3 linked regions of the Lepisosteus oculatus genome follow. The protein of the gene in region 1 binds, or shares a complex with, the protein of each later gene. Links are inferred from orthologs where the notes say so. Each region holds a gene or a part of one and is shown in the gene's direction. Other genes may lie near its edges. The genes, in order: cul3b, klhl21 and klhl12.

Region 1 (3,753 bases):
TTACAGGTAATGGGGACTCCCCTCCACCACCACCAATGTGCAGCATCCACCTTGATGATGCGACGGCAGCCATAGTGCGCCAGAATGCTCACCACACACCAGTTATCAGTGGGGAGGAGAGCAGAGTAATGAAGCCAATTCATAGAGGGGGATTATTAGGAGGCCATGATTGGTAAGGGCCAATGGGAATTTTTGGGCCATATGCTCTTGTAGAGTGCCATAGTGTAACTGACAGACAAAACTGCACTTGGGACCAGAATAAAAAAGAAAATTAAGTGACCTAGAGACTGAAACCATCAAGTCAATACCCACCATAACAAGTCTCTCTCCAAACTCAGACTCAGACTCAGAGAAGCTTCAAACAGATCATAACACAGGCATCTGAGCTATTGATTGACCAATTCAAGAATTTTGGCAAGAGATGGCATATAGGTAACAGGACTGCAGTTGTGTGTAATATTTTTAATGTCAAGGCGTTGACTTCATCCAGGTGGATGCTGCACATTGGTGGTGATGGAGGGGAGTCCCCTTTACCTGTAAAGCGCTTTGAGTGGAGTGTCCAGAAAAGTGCAATATAAGTGTAAGCAATTATTATTATTATTATTATTATTATTATTATTATTATTCATGTACAACTACATGAATAGGAACGGAATCTGAATGTACGTCGCATTTCTGGCCCCAAGAAGTTTGTTGACAAAACATTGGTAACAAACATGTTAAGTGCCACCGTATGAGAGTGAGTACAAAAGTGTGCCCGTTATTATATTCTCCTGCCTTTTCTTTGCGGATCATCATATTCTGAAACACTCAACCGTGACATCAGGTTCCCCCCCAACTTTTATTTTCTTAACTAGCTTCCCTTTACTGTGCGTGCGCCTCTAAGATCGCGTTCCTCGCCTCACGGTTCACCTTTCCTACGGCAGACACCCGGAGGCGTGAAACTCACGTTAAAGGTTAATATGCTGCATCGACGCAGCGCATGGCTTTAATGGTGTGTTTTTGTCTCCCGCAGATTTTTTTCCCCTCTACCTTTATCTCGCGCGAGTTTCGGTGTGGGGTAGCCCTGCGCACTGAGAGCTGTTTGTCCGCCATCACTGTGCAGAAAGAGCCGAGCACTTGGAGTGGCGGCGGCGGCGGAGTGACAATACCAGCCCAGAAAGAGGGACGTAGACACGCCGGAGAGGTCGAGGGGGCTAAACGGCATTCCCGTCGGCACATTTTCCCGCAGCTGCCCACGTAGTCTTTAATGTAAATAAAGAAACAGACGCGATCCAAACATGTCCAATCTAAGCAAAGGCGGCACCAAGAAGGACACCAAGATGAGGATACGAGCCTTTCCTGTGAGTAGTAGCCGGGGACGGGGCACCTAAGCGGGCGGGCGAGGAGACTCGAGCGCCGGGGATTCGGTCAGGGAATGGCGAAAATCAGGCCTCCCAGTTAGTAAACAAAGGCTTTGAAAATACGCGAGCTACTGAAACCTTGCTCGTGTACACGATCTTGAAATGCCTTTTTCCCCCTCTTAAGTAAAAAGTAATGTCTGGGAACAGAGGAGTGAATTTACAGTCCGACGTTAAATCTTTGTTGTTAGTGAGGCCTTCATTTTTGACACATTAATAGGTCAGTGAGCAAATCGGCAGGGGGGAAATGGTAGCTAACATTTCAGTAGTTCAGGAAGTTTTATTTTCATTATAGATCGTGATGGCATATAGCTATTTCATAGCCACAGCATTAAGCCTTACGACAACAAAAATGAGGTTGTTTCTCTTTCTGATTTCAGGTAAGTTAGCAGAACTAATTGCATGTTTAGCAAGGTGAACTTCACACCCGGAACGTAACAAAAAGTACTAAATCATCCGCTCTGTGAAGTCAGTACAGTTGCCAAAACAAGAACATGTTCCGCGACATGGTTGTCGCAGTGAGTAAATTAGTTTCACAGCAGTGTGTAGGCCTGACTGTCCGATAAAATTGTTTAATACTGAGGTTTGAATGCATAAGCGTTGTCAAACGTCGTAATGACTCGCATTGTTAAAAGAACAACTAAAATAAGGATATTTCATGGCGTATACGTCGAATTAAAAGAAATGAACGATAATCTCATAAAAATCTAGGTGGTCAGGAGAGTCATGTTTCATAAAATGAGTCACTACTAATGGTGTTAGTAAAGCAATAGTAAGGTGAAAAGATGCCTTGATGTCATGTATGTAAATCAAGGTGTGAAATGATGTCGTTAGTTTTGGGAAGCTCGATCGTTTTGTGGACTCTAGAAAAACACTGGAAATCTGTCATCAGATATTGTCTCTAACATGTCTTCCTTCAGGAGACCCTCTTTTCGTTGGGTTAGGGACATGTAGTTATTTGATGATCCTAGCATGCCAAAGTTGTCTTTATACCTCAGGAAAGCCCATATGATAAGCAAGTGTAAGGACTGGCCTGTAACTGCAGTTCATAAGTCATGTCCTGATTCGTGTGCAGCCCTTGTAAGTTGTTTTCCTTGCTAATCAGTGATTTGCTGAATTGCTCATTGCCTGCTCCTTTAAAAAAAATACTTCAGTGGCAAATTGTTTTAAAACAGATACTAGGTGGTCCTGCATTTCACTTTTTGCAGAAACATCTTGCTGTTTCTGTCTATAATTAACTGTTTTAATCTCATACTTTTGACCTCTCTTTTGTAGATCAAGGCTGAAAATTATGTAAAAATTATTAGTCTTAACATCTTAAGGTGCTTATTAAAAAATACAACATATCAGGGGGTTGAAGCTATGTTGATACATTATACCTGACTGTAATTGCTTGTAACTGCTTAAGATGTACTGAAAACTAAATGTCAAAGCAGTTGTCCAGCAGTGAGTTGGCTTCACGCAGAATTGCCTTGGAAGTGGAAGGATTAGTCCTCCGATATCTGCTGTGTAGATATTTACCAGTGGGTATCACAGGTTGCATTTTAAGTGATCTTGGCAGGGGGTATCCTAGTCCATTCCTGGATGAGAAAAACCTAATAGGAGGTATCACAGTCTTGCCAGTTCCCATCCCAAGGGTGTCTGATCTGTGCTGTTTCAGTCAACACAGTTATTTAGGGCAACACATCATCTTAGTCGAAATGTCAGTGAATCAGGCCTGCTCACATCATCTGACACTTGAAATGTTTTCAAGTGGTAGTAAAATGCAACACCCACTCCATTATTCTCTTTCCATACACCTAGTCTTGGTGAGCTACGTTTATGCTGACCAGTGTAAGGATGGTCCATAGTTTCTTCGTAACACCGGTACCATAATGTCCTATGGTTGTAGTTGCCATATGTTCCTCTTGTACTCTCTTATGCTGTAGTGTAAAATGAGTGCTGTACTCCTACAGAGTATTGGGAACACACATGCAGAATGAAATGATTTTCAGTCATTTATCATAGAATTATTGCCACAGAATAATTTTTCTAGGCTTTTAATTGAATATGGTTCTAATAGATGACTAGATGACAGTTCATACAGCATAATTCCAGTGTTAACCTGTCAAGGGAACCGATGACTGCAGTGTCTGATTTCATATTGATCAAAGCCTGTGATAAATTATCAATACATAATACCTCTGTGTTCTAATTGTATTTTAAAGGAAGCATTTTAAAATCAAGATGTGACATATAAATTACCGATTGGTGTTCTGTCATTTAAACTAGGTTTTCCCAAACCCAGTTTTGGAGGTCTGCAGTCCTGCAGGTGTTCATTCCTGCGCAACCGTTAATGGTCAAGTTTAACTAG
Region 2 (3,753 bases), on another chromosome or scaffold:
GTTTACTGAAGGGAAACCTGCCAGGGAGGGAGCGCCAGGGTGAGGCATTGGAAATCATCCATCCATCTGTCTTCTAACCCCTTATACAAGGCAGGGTTCACCCTTGACAGGGCGCCAGTCCAACATAGGGCACACACAGGCACCAACACACAGGGTCTCACCAGGGCTATCTTCCCAGAAGCCAACTAACCCTACCAGTGTGTGGGAAAAACTGGAGCACCCCGAGGAAGCCCATGCGAACACCAGAAGGCCATGCAAACTCCACACGGACAGCAGCCGGGGGTCTGAAATTGAACCCAGGGCCCCCAGCACTGTGATGTAGCCTTGCTAACCACTACAGCACTGTGTCGCCCTCTTGTCAATATTAATAACGATGACAATCATAAATAATATGCAGTAAAATAATAACAGCCCAGACGGACACAAGGCCACGCAACCATATGTGAACCTGTTCCATTTTGTGCACTTCTTACACATAATACTTCCCTACACACCACTTCGAAAACTCCTACATCTCTCCTATATACTCAACACAAACCCATACCGTGAGATCACTGAATTAATGTATCTTTCCCAGATAAAGATATGCAATGGGTAAAAACAAAAAAAGTATCTTATTCAACACTGGACGTCCGAACAACTTCACACACAGCGCAGTAAAGAGGTTAGCCCGCGCTGAACAAACCGAGGACTTAATTTAATAATTAACAGACACTCCTGCTGTCCTGGCTCGGAGGAACTGGGAGACAGCGAGGACAGAAGCTGAGGGTGGAAAAAAATCAGCTTGAAGCAGATTCTTGATTGCTCTCGCTATCAGAAGTGTGAGTGCGGCAGTGCTGTGGATTACTGTGAATACAATCAGGAAAACAGCTGTACCTGTGGAAGGTGAGATCCGGGTTCTTGCTGCTGTACCTGTTGGTACAGTTGTAAGCAGAGCAACTCTTCGGCATGTCTTTACGCGCAGTGCTCTCTCTGCCCCAAACAAAGATGGCGGCCAGCATTCCAACTGGGGGCAGCACCCGAGCTGAGCCGTCGCCCCTCAGTCAGAGCGAAAAGCCGGAGGCTGGGAAAAAAAGAGACAGGAAATTACAACAAGTCAACCCTTCGGCGGGGTGTCCTCGGTTATGAGTGTGTTTTTGTTTCTCGCAGAAGTGTAAAACAGAAGTGCGCGGACACTCCAGTTTTCAATCCCATCTCCCAAACTGCGTTTCGGAAGGCGCGTCTGCTTACGCGGTAGGTTTCACCGTCCTCGTCGGTGAGCTGAATTTCTTAAAACATCCACATTTTTTTTTTCTCGGCCTCGTCAGCTCTTCCTCACAGCGGGTAGCGCGTCGTTGAAAGTGTGACTCCGGGAGTGGGGCATTGCTCCGCTCTCACACGAACAGATGACTAGCCTGCCAGGTCGGAAAACATCCCGAAACCAAGATGGCCGACGGGCTTCGGTGTTTTCCGCAAGGTTCCCCGAATAAGATCTCAGCCGGCAGATGGGTCTGGGTCTCACAGCGTAGCCCATAACCTCTCTGTCATTATAAGAGTGGCGGAGTTGGTGGCTGTTGAGTGGGACCACTGAACTTGTGTGTAATTCACTCTCACACTGTTGTATTCATCTGTAGTCACAGCAGGGGCAGTAATAGAAAACCAAGACACAATACAGTACGTTCTCAGCTGAGGTCTGTATATAACCGAAGATTGCACTGCGTTTCTGTTACAAGTGATAATGGGGAACCACACCTACGGTATTTTAATCATGTTCTTGTCTGATTGGGTAGAAAATGTGGTTTTCTGTCATTAAGAGCTCGGTTGAAAACCCAGGAGACCAAAGAGCTCTCCAGGATAAAGGCAAGAGATCTCTGTTCCAGCAATGTTTTGCCTCTATGCTGTGACAAAGCTCTAAGTGACAGTGATCAAAAACCGACTGGGATCTTACAAAAAGAAAGAATGAAAAATGAGGGAACCTTATTGTAAAGCAGTTTCGATTCCTAGACGGTCTTGGTATCTTCGGGTTTATGTTCCAACATAGTTGGTCAAACTGAACAATAAATGTAATTGATTAGCTGTTTCCACAATTAAGGTTTCTCGAGGTGTCTTACTGTCAAACCTTCAAAACATTTACGCCAGTAAAGATAGTACCTTTTAAAACCTGTCAAATCATGGCCGTGATATCGCAGTTCTGCGTTTCGGTGAATGATTAGACCCGCTCTGTAACAGAGTGCCCCAGTGAAACAGAGCCCAGAGGATTCTGCTGAGTCTGAGACCCGCGGGGTAAATGTTACAGAACAGTCCCGAAGAGGCATGACCAGTCAGCCTTGCTGGAAAGCTAAGGTGCCGCTGGTTTCCAGCTCTTGCCTGCCTGCTCCAATACTAGTGTTTATTACATTAGGTATCTGAACTGTACAGCTGAATCTCTTCATTCAAATACATCTCGGCATCAGCTGTTATTGGTGCAGAGTCAAGGTCTGCTTTGAGCACAGTTTCGGTGTTGAGGAAATGCACTGACAAAGGCTGCCAAGTTTCGCGATCGGAAATGCGTTCCCCGTCTTGGTCCTTACTAACCTTGTCAAGTCCTTAATCACAGGACTTCAAATCTCTCTTATTTCAATTTTCTCTTTGAGACCCTTTTAAAATGGATTTCCAGCTCTTGAAAAGCCGAGTGGCATTAGTAGCTGGTATATGGACCTTGTGCTAATCAGTACGTTTCAGGGCTGACCCCAGTCAGGTGTGCTGGCTGAAATATAACCATCTGGACTTAAGCAGTAGGGAAAAAAACTGCATCAGGAAACTCCAACAATGAGTCGGCCTGTGTCGATTTTTCAACTGATCACCTGGCCTGAACTAACGAGTCAGTCTGTTACAGACGCCAGTTAAGAGCCCAGCAGACACAGGGGTACCCCAAGACCACAAATGGGAACCACCACTCCAGCAGGTTGTCTGTGTCTCTTTAAAAAATCAGCAGCTCCAGGCAGCTGGGAAAGGATTAACTGGTCACATTAAATCTTAACGGGATCACTTTAACCCTTCAGCCAGGTGCAAGGTTGTTTTGAAGTTTGAGAAGCCTAGAAACTTGCAGGAACAGATTTGGGAACCACCCGCCTCGAGGTGCTGCCGATTTTGTTGGCACAACACAGAGAGGCACCACCCTTGTCACGGGTATTAATCTGCTACAGGAGCACAGAAGGGCAAGAGACCCCACAGTGTGCGTGGCAGAAGACCCACAGCCCTCTCTCCTTACGTGGTAATGCTGCAGGTGATCAACAATCACATAGCCCAAATCATGGAGGTGCAATGAACAACTGAGAATACCAAATTTATTTGTTTAAAAAAAGTAACATCTTTTTTTATTCCGGATTTCACAACGTTCAAAAGAAAAAGAAGTCCAAAAAGTAATACCAGAGCTTCAGATGCCGATTTAAAATAATCAATAGTTAGATCTTTATTTACAACATATTTTACAATTTACAGAGTTTCATAGAAACAGCCTTCTCCTCTGTGCCACTGTTCAGTTCCCTCGCAAAAGCCGACCGCTTACATTCCTGCGGTCTCTGACACTTTCAAATAACCAGTTCCAAATTAAATTAAATGTTTTTAAAAAAACATAAAGAGGGAACAAACTCGTTTTCCTTTGGTAAATTAGATTTCCTTTTTGTTTTTACAGTAGAATACACATATTTACACAAGCTGGCGTTGACCAGTGTCTACTGCTGCCGTTTTCACACTAGCTATGTGACCCAGGCCCAGGCCTGCTTACTGAAGACT
Region 3 (3,753 bases), on another chromosome or scaffold:
TGAGTTTCCTTTGGGCACTCTAGTTTCTTCCCAGAGTCCAAAAAATATACGGGTAGGTTCATTGGCTTCTGGGAAAATTGGCCCTGGTGGGACTGTGTGTGTACTTGTCTCTGTGCGTGCCCTGTGATTGGCTGGTTTCCTGTCCAGGGTATATCCTGCCTTGCACCAGTTTTATGCCAGGTTAGGTTCTGGCTCCCCTGCAATCCCGAATTGTTAGAAGCCGTTAGAAAATGTATGGATTATTTTGTTACTCTTTACATGTTAAACTCCCAGCCTCTGCCTCCCAACCTCAGGGCATTGGGTTTTCGTCATATCCTTTTCCTTGTCAAAGATTTACAATTACAAATCATAATGCAGCCTCATCTGCTGAAAGGAAAGCATGATTCTGCTGCAAGATGAGCTGTGCCTCTTTTTATTTTTTGGCATCTCGTGTAGGTATGGCAAGTACTTAACAAGGTTCTGAAATAATTACACAGCCCAAAGCTGCATTCTACTATTGCTCTCCATCCTAAAGAATTCCAAAGTTCTTTATAAAGAAATAGGCCCCCTCTTCCTCCAGCATTGAAGCACAGCCCCCACCTGAGAGGCACCACTGGTCGGCACCAGCAGTCCCACTGCACAGCTGGTCAGGGGGAGAAATGAGAAACTGCTTCGACTGAATTAAGGGAAGATACAGGGTAAGCTACATGGTACAAGCCCAGGGTAGAAGTAAGCAGGACACCAGAACTGACACCCCTACTAAACAAAGTCGTTACCTCAGATTAATGTATCACCCGAAGACCAGCACCTCCTGCAGCACGGTGTCCCCGATCATCATCCCAATCGTACTGGGACCTTGGTTTTTGAACAGTGGTCAGGATGGAAGAACACCACCTACTGGCCCAACAACACCACTAACAGCAGCAGCTGGAGCTGTGATTCTCAGCCCCGGTTTGGGAACTACCCCTGTGTCCTTTGCTTTTTTGTTCCAGTAATGAACACGCTGTCTTTATTTAAATAAACCGGTGAAAACAAAAACACTGCAGTTAACCGTCACCTCATAATATTTTTTTTCCATGATCTGAAACATCTGTCTTAGTGTTTCAGCTAATTTCTAATTCCATACTCCACAAGAACTGTGAAAGCGGCAGGAAGGGGGCCTTTTGGGGTTATTGAAAAGCCAAAATAAAACAATAATGTCAAAACAAATTCTTAAATATGTAAATACTCGTACAAATAATTACCTGCTATCACGTAAATGTATTACACATTTATGTAAACTGCAACATAACTGTGATTTTATACACAGATTCTTTACATTAAATAGCAGTTTAAGCATTTTTAATAGAGAAAAGAAGGCGCGTTCACGGCCGTGGGAATCCTCGGGCGTGTGGACCTTGTGTGTGACCATGACGTCATTGTGTTGTGTTTGCAACTGGTACCTGGGACTTTTATCTTCCTGGATAGCACAGTGCTAATCATGAAAACTGTGTGACTGTGGGGATTTTGAATACAGTTACGAGCTAACCAAACTATCTTGTTTTTAGAGGATTAGAAACCTGGACGTTTGTTTCGGTAACACTTGATTTTAGTTAGAAAGATCCCAACAGACGCGGGCCGCGGAGAAGAACCGCGGTGTGGGAGTGACGGATACGCCGGAGTATGGAGCGTCTTTGCTGGGGGTTGTAACTGTGCAAATCACCGGAGCGTCTCATCTGCTGGTAAATAACGTTTTGTCCGCAATAAAGTACACTGCATTCAAATAACATTACATCTGAGCTTGTTGACCTCTAAAATCATATAACGGGCTGTTGCATTTGACCCCTTGAAGTGATCTGGTTGTTATAAACATGTCCACCGGCTAGGAAAATAAATATAATATACCTCAGTATTTTGCATCTTGTAAGCACTGGATTCATATTCTGTTCGTAATGATACCTCGTGCTCGAATAGGATTCTCTTAGTAAATCATTCTTAAATCGTGCGGTCAGATACGGGTCTGTGCACAATACGTATTTGGCACACTGTAAAGTTAAACTGCAATGTTAACTGGTGCTTTTCGGACCAGCATTAGCAGCAAAGCTTTGTGAAATCGATCGGCCGTGAGCTGCAGGGTGACCCGGATGCCCGATTGTACTTGTCGTGGGGTACCCAGGACTGAAGGGCGCCGTTTGTCGTATTACACTCCCAACATGAAATGTATTACATAATTGATTTTTGTTTTGCACAACACGAAATGAAAAACTAACAACTTTCATTGTACCCACAAAAGACAGTTGTGTTACTCTACCCATATAATGACATACAGACTTTCAATTTTTAGACAAAAACATGTTTATTTTGTATACGAATATCGCAAATTGATATTCAAGTCGTGCGCTCGAAGCGGAATACCGTTTGTGTTTTGTCACTGCTCATTTCGTGAACTCAAGGACGTCGATGTTTATTTCGTTGAACGAAATTTTGTGACGTATCACTTTTGACCCCTGACCTTTGTTGGCATGACAACCAAGGATCAGTGGCCATGGACGTCCACAATGGTACTGCTCATGCGCTGGAGTAGTGCACTTCCTTAGTTACAATTAGTTCCTTGGAAACAATGTACTGTAGTTTATACTGTAAACGGTTACTAGAGATAGCCAGTGGCTATTTTCTTATGGAATTTTTGATTGTTTTCAAATTATTTAAATAAAAAAATTCACCTAGATAACACGACGTCTGACAGTACCAGCTAAGGCAAGAATGCTTTTCTGGAAAAACGTTCCTCCGTTCATCCGTTTTCTAATGGCTTCTTCCACTTCAAAGTCGTGGGGGAGCCAGAGTTTATCTCTGTAACAGGCACAAGGCAGGATTACACCCTGAATGGACACCTGTCCATCACAGGGCAAACAGACATACACTCACATTAGGGCCAGTTTTCTCAGAAGCCAATTAACCTACAAGTTAATTGTCTTTGGACTGTTGGAGGAAACCGGGAGGAAACGGAAGCACCCTGAGGAAACACACATGAACAGACGGAGAACATACAAATTCCACGCAGACAGCACCCCACGTCCAGAGCTGAACCCAGGGCCACAGCTCCACGAGGTAGCAATTCTTACCACTGCCACTGTTTTTCTCAAAACCTATTTTATGTAATTTGTATATACCTGTATGTGGTATTTAAAAGAGTATTAATAAAATTTCCTTGCATTTATATTGCACTTTTAATCCCAAAAGTCCCCTAAGCACTTTACGTGTAGGAGGGAACCCCGTTTTTTCATCCATCATTAATGAGTAGTTCCCATCTGAGTGAGTGTGGCCGCTGTTCTCTGTCAGTGGTGCTGCTAAACAGTCGATGAGGTGGGAAACGAGAAATTACTTCTAGCTACATTCACGGGGAACTTTTGCAAAGCCACACTGTACAATCAAAGAGTGAAATTTAGCCAGGGTACTGATACAACACCCTACTTTTTCAAAAAGTGCAGTAGGATCGTTAATGACCAGCTTAATGTCTCTTGTGAAGGATAGTATCTTCAGCCAGTGTACTACGTCTATTACTAATAATAATTCCATACACTTATATAGCGCTTTTCTGGACACTCCACTCAAAATGCAATACAGATAAAGGGAACTCCCCTCCACCACCAATGTGTAGCACCACCTTGATGATGCATCAGCAGCTGTAGAGCGCTAGTATGCTCACCACACACCAGCTATCAGTGGGGAGGAGAACAAAGTGATGAAGCCAGGGATGAGGATTATTAGGAGGCCATGATTGATAAAGGCCAGGGG

What was found.
Region 2: cul3b (region 1) and klhl21 share a complex: the UniProt entries of both Homo sapiens proteins name them as parts of the BCR(KLHL21) E3 ubiquitin ligase complex. The link is inferred for Lepisosteus oculatus from reciprocal best matches to the Homo sapiens genes CUL3 and KLHL21.
Region 3: cul3b (region 1) and klhl12 share a complex: the UniProt entries of both Homo sapiens proteins name them as parts of the BCR(KLHL12) E3 ubiquitin ligase complex. The link is inferred for Lepisosteus oculatus from reciprocal best matches to the Homo sapiens genes CUL3 and KLHL12.

The regions. Positions count from the first base shown.
Region 1 is NC_090708.1:6,829,607-6,833,359, forward strand, and holds the start of cul3b (cullin-3b), read left to right. Parts: upstream 1-900; 5' UTR 901-1,280; coding exon 1,281-1,343; intron 1,344-3,753. UniProt on the Homo sapiens protein: Core component of multiple cullin-RING-based BCR (BTB-CUL3-RBX1) E3 ubiquitin-protein ligase complexes which mediate the ubiquitination and subsequent proteasomal degradation of target proteins.
Region 2 is NC_090720.1:9,156,562-9,160,314, reverse strand, and holds the start of klhl21 (kelch-like protein 21), read left to right. Parts: upstream 1-1,001; 5' UTR 1,002-1,233; exon of another isoform or gene 1,234-1,583; intron 1,584-3,753. Other genes in the region: thap3 (THAP domain-containing protein 3), read right to left, coding at 1-17, 877-1,001. UniProt on the Homo sapiens protein: Substrate-specific adapter of a BCR (BTB-CUL3-RBX1) E3 ubiquitin-protein ligase complex required for efficient chromosome alignment and cytokinesis.
Region 3 is NC_090700.1:30,400,501-30,404,253, reverse strand, and holds the start of klhl12 (kelch-like protein 12), read left to right. Parts: upstream 1-1,393; 5' UTR 1,394-1,700; intron 1,701-2,946; 5' UTR 2,947-2,985; coding exon 2,986-3,066; intron 3,067-3,753. UniProt on the Homo sapiens protein: Substrate-specific adapter of a BCR (BTB-CUL3-RBX1) E3 ubiquitin ligase complex that acts as a negative regulator of Wnt signaling pathway and ER-Golgi transport.